Linked DNA regions of Caenorhabditis elegans. The protein of the gene in region 1 purifies or fractionates together with the protein of each later gene. This does not show direct contact. Each region holds a gene or a part of one and is shown on either strand. Other genes may lie near its edges.

Region 1 (4,048 bases):
GTACTTGCAGTTTTTAATCTTCGACCACCAAATTCTATTGCAAGAAAGATTGCTGCAAATCCAACGTGGTTCAAGTTGGAACAGGATGTGAACACCTTTAATAATCCAACTCTACATGCTATGGAGCAAGTCGCTGCTCTTGGTATTACAAAGTCAAGAGATTTAGCTAGACTTTTCTCACTCGTACAACAAGGAAAACTGTTCTCTACTGAACTTCTAGAAAAGTTCCGTGCCCCCCAAGTTCAGGGGATTGATGAAGTTGTCATGACTCCTCTACCAAAAGGACATGGTTTCCTATACGAGAGACATCCAATGGGAGGGGTGAGCATCGTTTTAATAAATATAATAATAAATCAATTATTTTTTCAGAAAAAGTGGCTTGTTGGACATCCTGGTTACGGTGGCAGCACAGTAATGATGGATTTGGAAGATGGGATCACGATTGCCTACGTCTCGAATGGATTGAAAACTGGAATGGGAGAGCTTACGAGAACATACAGACATCTTCGAGATTCTGTATTTGAGTGCTTGGAGAAACAGAAGACTGGTCAAAGTGTGATGATCGAGGAAGCAGTTCAAGCAGTTGCCGCATAACTTAAAAAATTGTTGTTATCCTTGTTTGTACATAGCGCCATAATTTGGGACGGGTCTACTGCCCCCAGCGAATTGTGCATAAACATGTTTCTGGTTTGTCTGAATTTGTATTGAGAAAAATGGGTAATACCGGGAAACCGAAAAATAATGAACAGAAAAAGTTAAAAAAAAACATCCGGGTGCAAAAAGTTCTTCTTGAAGTCGGTGAGTCGGTTTGAAGTACAATAAAATGACTCGCCGAGCGCAAGAAGTTTACCAGGGCAGAAAGAAGAGAGCTGATAATAAATTAAAAATGTGAATAAATACACGAGAATGATTCAATCGTCCATGTCGTCCTCGTCAAGCTTGGCAATAGCCCATTCCTCGGCAGCAGTGACAACCTCGCTTGGAACTTCTTCGTACTTTCCGTTCGTCTGCTCACCGACCCATCCCATTTCGATTTGAACGTTTTTATCCTTGTTCTCGTCACGCACCACCATAATGATTCGAGCAGCTTCCTTCACGAGTTGATTCACATCCAGCTCCTCGATCTTCAGCTTCTCAATCTCAGCTTTTGCGGCTTGGCGATGTTTTCCGACAGCCCATGCCTTGTATTCATAGTTTAGACCTGATGGCTCCACAAGGAAAAGACGTCCTCCAGTTTGTTTGTTCCATGACATGAAGAAGGCTCCTGCTCCAAACGGACGACTAATGCCGAGAGTGTGAATGTGAATGTACTCAGCAACTGAGTTAGCAATATTCTGAATCGGCATTGGCTCACGGTAGTCTTTGAGCCACTTCATTGCTTCTCCGTAAGCATAGTTCTTCAGAGCGAAACCATCTGGATAGTTTCCAGCAACTGCGACACCAACATTGTCGTTCACGTTAAACATTCTTGGATTAGCGTTCTGAAAATTATAGATAAAATCTTGAAAATCTCTTAAATTACTCACATCAGTGTAAAGTTTGGAAGAGATCAGCTTGTCAGCAACGACCACAACTCCGTTCTTGCCACGAATTGCAATCATTGTTCCTGCATTGTCGACAGCCTTTTGAGCGTACTCGACTGAAAACGAGATTATGAGTATTTTGAACAAAGCAAAATCGAAACAAACCTTGGAAAATTCTGCCATCAGGAGAAAAAGTAGAGGCGGCGAGATCGTAGCCGGTACCGATTGAACTCATTCTGCAAAATAAAAACTATGTTAACACATATATGATTGCAACTGGTACGTGTTTTATTTCTGCGGAAATCAGAAGAACCGTTAAAATTTAATATTTAATAATTCGTTTATTTGAATGCGTTAAAAATAGTAGAATTATTGCGAAAATAAAAGCTGATAATCTGAAAATGGCAGCTAAATGGAAATAAAATTTCAAATGATGATTTTCCAATGTCGATTTACGGGAGAGACGAACATTGCGGCAGGTCTCGCAACGACGAAGAAGAGAGTGTGTAAATTGAGAGACGTCAGAAGACAACATGCGCCTTTAACATTTTCTTTTCATTTTTCTTTACTTTTTCGTAACTTTTTGTTACTATTTTGAAGCTGTGCAATTTGTTTCCAAAGTAAAAATCGCTTAAACCTCACATAAAATTGTCTTGTGTTTATTACTCCTTTTAATATGCGTGTCTTTCAGAGAAATCTCGCGGGTAAAAATGGTGAAACTCGACGACAAAAATAAAAAATTCAAAGGGAAGAAGAAGGTTAAAAATGTGTTGGAGAAAAAGGCAAAAGGATTAAAACTCAACAAAGTAGACAGAAAGCGAATTGTTAAGGTTTGTTAAATTACTTCATTTTGTAAATAATTTTTTGTGAAATATTTCAGATTGAAGAAAAAGCAGCGTTAAAAAGCAAAGTAGACAAAGCTGTGAAGGACGAGTTGGAAAGGTTGAAAAAGTCATCTTCAACATCAGTTTTTGATAATGATGGGACTCGTGACTCTTTGTGCTCGGAGTCTTCGTTCGGAAGCCAGCCAGCACCGAAAAAGAAATCGAAAAAAGTGCTTTTCTCAGGAGAACTTGAACATGTTAAGGTTTTCGATAAGCGAGTTCAGGATCTTCAAATCAAACCATCAGAGGCATCTCCAGGAAGAGGAATTCTCAGATCCCCTCTTGATAAGAAGGTTAAGGTTTGTTAATTCAATATATCGTCTTTTACACAATTGTTTTTTTTCAGAAACTTGCCAAAGTGAAGACTGTCAAAGTTGCTCAGGAAGAAGAAGAAGAGCATTCCGCTCCCCCAAAGAAAAAAGTGAAGGTTAATGCAGAGAAAGCCGTTGCTTCTGAGCCAGCAGACGATGAAAATTTGGAATCTGTCGACGAACAAGCAGGTGGAGATGAATCTCATATTGACATTCCAACTCTAAAGAGAAAGAGAGTAGCTATTCAAGTCACAAAGTCTGTTAAAGAACAATTGCTGAATATGCCGAGAAAAGAAAGAAAAGCATTTTTGAAGGAGTTGAAATTGAAGAGAAAACCTGAAGGAGCTCGTGCTCAAAAATGCAAGGAACTTTGGGAAAAGATCAGAATGGGAAAGACGCCAAAAGCTGAAAAGGATACTGCGGTTCACGAGTTGTATGGTCTTGTAAAAGGACACGCTGCCAAGCTGATCTATGCTCACGACACCAGCAGAGTTATCGAATGTCTTGTTGCCACTGAAAGAGAAGGAATCATTAACAACTGTAAGTTTTTTGAAGGTTCCCATGAATAATTACGAGAACATAATTATTGCAGTGTTCAACGAATTAACCCCAGAAATAGTGAGGATGTCAAAGAACGTCTATTCCAAATTTTTCGTCAAGAAAATGTTGAAGAATGGAACTAAAGAACAACGTGATATTATCATTAATGCATTCCGCGGACATGCTCCAACCCTGCTCAGAATCAAACATGCTGCCGAAGTTCTTGAATATGCTTACAATGACTTCGCTAATGCCCATCAGCGTTACAACATCATTACTGAATTTTATGGAAAAGAATTCATTTTGTTCAGAGTAAACAACATTCAATTAAGCTCTAAAAATAGTTTGTTGATTTCAGGAAGACAATATCAGATCTCTGACGGAGATTCTCGCTGAAAAGCCGGAAAAGAAGGTTGTGATTTTGAAGCATTTGGACGAGGTTATTGGAGCAGTGAATGAAAAAGAAACTTTGCGACTTTCAATTCTGCACAAACTTATGCTCGACTTTTTCGATAATTGCGACGAGGAAAAGAAAATCAATCTCCTTGATTCACTGAAAGATAAAATTCCCGAGTTCATTCATACTCCAGATGGTGCCAAATTGGCTATTAAACTCATTTGGTTTGCTCCAGTCAAGGAAAGAAAATTGATCGTCAAGAATTTCAAGGATTTGTCAGTAAAAGCCGCAATGGAACATTACGGACATCGTGTTCTTCTTGCACTTTTTGATACTGTCGACGATACTGTTCTTCTCAATAAGGTTATTGTCTCCGAGTTGGCAAATGAAATG
Region 2 (5,162 bases), 290 kb from region 1:
TGAGAATATGGAGTTTCAATTGTGCACTGGTTTTCAAATTTTTTTTAAACTGAGAATTATTGAGAATATGGAGTTTCAATTGTGCACTGGTTTTCAAATTTTTTCAAACTGAGAATCATGGAAATAATGGAGTTTCAATTGTGCACTGGTTTTCAAATTTTTTTTAAACTGAGAATTATTGAGAATATGGAGTTTCAATTGTGCACTGGTTTTCAAATTGTTTTAAACTGAGAATCATGGAAATAATGGAGTTTCAATTGTGCACTGGTTTTCAAATTGTTTTAAACTGAGAATTATTGAGAATATGGAGTTTCAATTGTGCACTGGTTTTCAAATTATTTTAAACTGACAATCATGGAAATAATGGAGTTTCAATTGTGCACTGGTTTTCAAATTTTTTAAACTGAGAATTATTGAGAATATGGAGTTTCAATTGTGCACTGGTTTTCAAATTATTTTAAACTGACAATCATGGAAATAATGGAGTTTCAATTGTGCACTGGTTTTCAAATTTTTTTTAAACTGAGAATTATTGAGAATATGGAGTTTCAATTGTGCACTGGTTTTCAAATTTTTTTAAACTGAGAATTATTGAGAATATGGAGTTTCAATTGTGCACTGGTTTTCAAATTTTTTTAAACTGAGAATCATGGAAATAATGGAGTTTCAATTGTGCACTGGTTTTCAAATTTTTTAAACTGAGAATTATTGAGAATATGGAGTTTCAATTGTGCACTGGTTTTCAAATTTTTTTTAAACTGAGAATTATTGAGAATATGGAGTTTCAATTGTGCACTGGTTTTCAAATTTTTTTTAAACTGAGAATTATTGAGAATATGGAGTTTCAATTGTGCACTGGTTTTCAAATTTTTTCAAACTGAGAATCATGGAAATAATGGAGTTTCAATTGTGCACTGGTTTTCAAATTGTTTTAAACTGAGAATCATGGAAATAATGGAGTTTCAATTGTGCACTGGTTTTCAAATTGTTTTAAACTGAGAATCATGGAAATAATGGAGTTTCAATTGTGCACTGGTTTTCAAATTGTTTTAAACTGAGAATCATGGAAATAATGGAGTTTCAATTGTGCACTGGTTTTCAAATTGTTTTAAACTGAGAATCATGGAAATAATGGAGTTTCAATTGTGCACTGGTTTTCAAATTTTTTAAACTGAGAATTATTGAGAATATGGAGTTTCAATTGTGCACTGGTTTTCAAATTTTTTTTAAACTGAGAATTATTGAGAATATGGAGTTTCAATTGTGCACTGGTTTTCAAATTTTTTTTAAACTGAGAATCATGGAAATAATGGAGTTTCAATTGTGCACTGGTTTTCAAATTTTTTTTAAACTGAGAATTATTGAGAATATGGAGTTTCAATTGTGCACAGGTTTTCAAATTATTTTAAACTGACAATCATGGAAATAATGGAGTTTCAATTGTGCACTGGTTTTCAAATTTTTTTAAACTGAGAATCATGGAAATAATGGAGTTTCAATTGTGCACTGGTTTTCAAATTTTTTTTAAACTGAGAATTATTGAGAATATGGAGTTTCAATTGTGCACAGGTTTTCAAATTTTTTTAAACTGAGAATCATGGAAATAATGGAGTTTCAATTGTGCACTGGTTTTCAATTTTTTTTAAACTGAGAATTATTGAGAATATGGAGTTTGAATTGTGCACTGGTTTTCAAATTTTTTTAAACTGAGAATTATGGAGATTAGACAATTTTTGAAACGTGAATGGAAAATACCGCTACAGTAACCAAACTTTAATTTAGAAACTTTATTTACTGTAGGCCAATAATAACACTCTAGTTATCTGTCCACCTATTTTGAACTTGATCATGCTCAAATCACACGCGACAAATCATATTTTTCTATCACAATAATCAGTTGTTTCGAAACTTTCTTATCGTCAAAACTTTGCATCACTCATGGCTTGATAGTATGTGTTTGTGGAGAGAGGGAAAAGTTAAAAAGGGATAGTAGTTATACATTTTCTGTGTCAAAAATTTGGTTTGTGACTGTTCGGGCAGATATAAAAATGAAAGAAAATTATGGTGGATATCTCATTTTTTGAGAATTGGAAGCTTTATAAATTCAGCATTTTCAACGTCTGAAAAATGATTTTCGAGCTCATCCTAATTTCAATTGTTACCTACTATTTCTGGCATTGGACTTTCTGGAAGCGACGTGGATTGCCAGGCCCTTGGGGAGTTCCGATTTTCGGAAAAGCTGGAGCTATGCTGGAGGATAGTTTCCCACCGGGTTACACTCTTCAAAAATGGACAAAGGAATATGGAAAAATTTATGGATTCACTGAAGGAATGCAGAAAGTCATGGTGATTTCAGATCCTGATTTGGTTCAGGAAATCCTTGTGAAACAGTACGATAATTTTTATGGAAGAAAGCATAATCCAGTTCAAGGAGATCCAGATAAGGATAAGGATATTCATATTGTTGGAGCTCAAGGTTTTAGGTAAGGAGACCACTTCAGACGTGCTGGCTTGCCTGCCACTCGCATATTTTAATTGATAACTTTCAGATGGAAACGTCTCCGAACAATCACGGCACCTGCATTTTCAAATGGCAGTATCAAAAAAGTATTGACTACAATGGAAGATAGCACACAGGAGCTTATGAAAAAATTAAGAGAAGAATCAGAGAATGGAAAAGCAGTCAATATGCATCTGTAAGTTGTTCATAGCGGTCTAATTAAGGTGTTTTACTGTTAAATTTTAGTTTCTACCAGGAGTACACCTTTGACGTGATCTCCAGAGTTGCCATGGGACAACCCGACTCCCAAATGTTTAAAAATCCATTATTAAAGGATGTTAAAGGGGTAGGTTCATCTCCTTTGTTGGATTGATTTTTAATTTTAAAAGTTTAACAAAAATGTATTTTTACAGTTCTTCGAGCACAACCGCTGGCAGATCTGGATGTTCAGTGGAGGATTTCCATTTGCTGTGTCTTTTCTCAAATGGTTGTTCATTAAAGTAGGCAAGTTCGGAGCTGGTCCCTTTATTGTCGTGCAAAAATCGGTAACGGACGCAGTGATGTCCCGGATTGCTCAACGAGAAGCCGATAAGAAACATGGAGTTGAGCCAGGAGAGGCCGCTGATTATATTGATATGTTTTTGAATGCAAGAGCCGAAGTTGAACATTTTGGTGAAAGCAATGACGAATTCCATAAATCATCCTCCTATGTAAGCTTGAAATTAACATAGTGATTTTTATAAATTCCTTCAATTTCAGAATAACCGACAACTGACCACTCAAGAAATCATTAGCCAGTGCTTTGTATTTTTAGTTGCTGGATTTGATACTACAGCCATTTCCCTTTCCTATGTTACATACTTCTTGGCATTGAATCCAAAAATTCAGAGCAAGTTACAAGACGAAGTAGACAAAGAATGTCCAAATGATGAGATCACATTTGATCAGCTTTCAAAATTGAAATATATGGATAATGTGATCAAGGAGTCATTAAGATTGTTCCCATTTGCTTCTTTGTGAGTTTCCAATGTTTACTTACAAATTAAATATATTTTACTTTCAGTGCAAACTCCCGCCGATGCATGAGAAATACGGTTATCGGAGAGCAAATTGTAGAAGCTGGTGTTGATGTGATGATCGACACCTGGACTCTTCACCATGACAAAAATGTATGGGGAAATGACGTAGAAGAGTTCAAGCCTGAAAGGTAAGATATTTTCGATGCGTACTTTAAGAAAGATTTTTCAAGAGCGTAGTGACGTCTATCAAGATTCTATGAAAAAGTAATTTAAAAATATTTTTAGATGGGACTCTCCATTAACTCCTCAACAAGCATACCTCTCATTTGGTGCTGGACCCAGAGTATGTCTCGGAATGCGGTTTGCACTTTTGGAGCAGAAAGGATTATTGTCACATATACTCAAAAAATATACTTTCGAGACAAATGCGAAGACACAGCTTCCGATTAAATTAGTAGGCCGAGCAACTGCAAGGCCTGAAAACTTGTTCTTGTCATTGAAGCCGAGAGTTTGATTATAATATACCTTTCCTAATCCCTCCATGTTGTTTTAACTTTCTTCAACTTAATACAAATAGCTTTAAATTTAATTTTTTAAGTAACTGACATAGAAGTTTGTGCTTTTAAATACGTGAACATACAAATTTATTGGGTAAATATATAAACAAAGACAACAATCCGTACAAAACACATTTCAAAACCTGGATTTAAGTTTGAGCAGCACACTTGATGGCGCAATAGTAGCAGTTCCGACTAACTTCAATGGAATCACAGTTTCTGGTGTGGTTTCAAATGTATAGTTTTTCAAAATATTGGTCAAAAGCATTTTCATTTCCATCATAGCCAATCGCATACCAATACAAATTCTTGGTCCCATGCCGAACGGAAGATATCCGCCTTTAGCAAAGAATAGTTCATCCCCGGACTCCCATCTGTAGAACATTTGATGAAATAAATAATTGTCAAATAAAACCAACCTTTCCGGCTTGAACTCGTTAACATCATCTCCCCAAACTTTCGGATCATGGTGAAGAGACCAGGTATCCACATTAATATTTGTTCCAGCTTCTATTTCCATTCCCAGAACATTTGTGGTTTTGAGACATTTTCGATTGTGAACACTGAATTATTTTTTAATTACAGAGAACAAACTACACCACGGCAAAACTTAGAAATTAAAAAAAAACTAACAGAGACGCCAATGGATACAATCTCAATGCTTCTTTCACAACACATTCCAAATATTTCAATTTCGACAGCTGATCAAAAGTGACTTCAGGGTCTGGACATTCTCTATCCACTTCTTCTTGTAATTTCTTCTGAATCTCTGGATGTGTTGCCAGGAGATATGAAGAATATGACAGAGAAAGGGCAGTCGTGTCGTATCCAGCTAACAAGAAAACAAACAGTTGTCCAATAATCTCATCAAATGTCAGATGCTTATCCACTTTCAAGACTTCACTTTTAGCAAAATCTTGTTCAGCTTCGCCTTCGAAAAAGTCTACAGTTGATCTAGCATCTAAAAACAAATCGATGAAATCTTGAGGCTCCCCAGATGGCTCAATTCCAGCCTTCTCATCAGCTTCCCTTTGTTCCAGTCGTTTGTTCAAAGCCTTCTCCAAAATACTTTGAATATCGGTAGCC

What was found.
Region 2: the proteins of pas-7 (region 1) and cyp-13A8 fractionate together in Caenorhabditis elegans (co-fractionation; one large-scale study listed by BioGRID). This does not show direct contact.

What each region holds. Positions count from the first base shown.
Region 1 is NC_003280.10:10,098,096-10,102,143, forward strand, and holds pas-7 (Proteasome subunit alpha type-3), read right to left. Parts: upstream 1,760-4,048; 5' UTR 1,759-1,759; coding exon 1,689-1,758; intron 1,640-1,688; coding exon 1,527-1,639; intron 1,482-1,526; coding exon 912-1,481; 3' UTR 687-911; downstream 1-686. Other genes in the region: lact-2 (Beta-lactamase domain-containing protein 2), read left to right, coding at 1-321, 370-594; puf-12 (Pumilio domain-containing protein 12), read left to right, coding at 2,234-2,353, 2,404-2,706, 2,754-3,258, 3,311-3,570, 3,617-4,048.
Region 2 is NC_003280.10:9,804,498-9,809,659, reverse strand, and holds cyp-13A8 (Putative cytochrome P450 CYP13A8), read left to right. Parts: upstream 1-2,090; 5' UTR 2,091-2,127; coding exon 2,128-2,483; intron 2,484-2,549; coding exon 2,550-2,696; intron 2,697-2,746; coding exon 2,747-2,846; intron 2,847-2,913; coding exon 2,914-3,210; intron 3,211-3,259; coding exon 3,260-3,516; intron 3,517-3,563; coding exon 3,564-3,707; intron 3,708-3,804; coding exon 3,805-4,033; 3' UTR 4,034-4,060; downstream 4,061-5,162. Other genes in the region: cyp-13A7 (Putative cytochrome P450 CYP13A7), read right to left, coding at 4,213-4,450, 4,496-4,639, 4,710-5,162. UniProt on the Caenorhabditis elegans protein: Cytochromes P450 are a group of heme-thiolate monooxygenases. They oxidize a variety of structurally unrelated compounds, including steroids, fatty acids, and xenobiotics.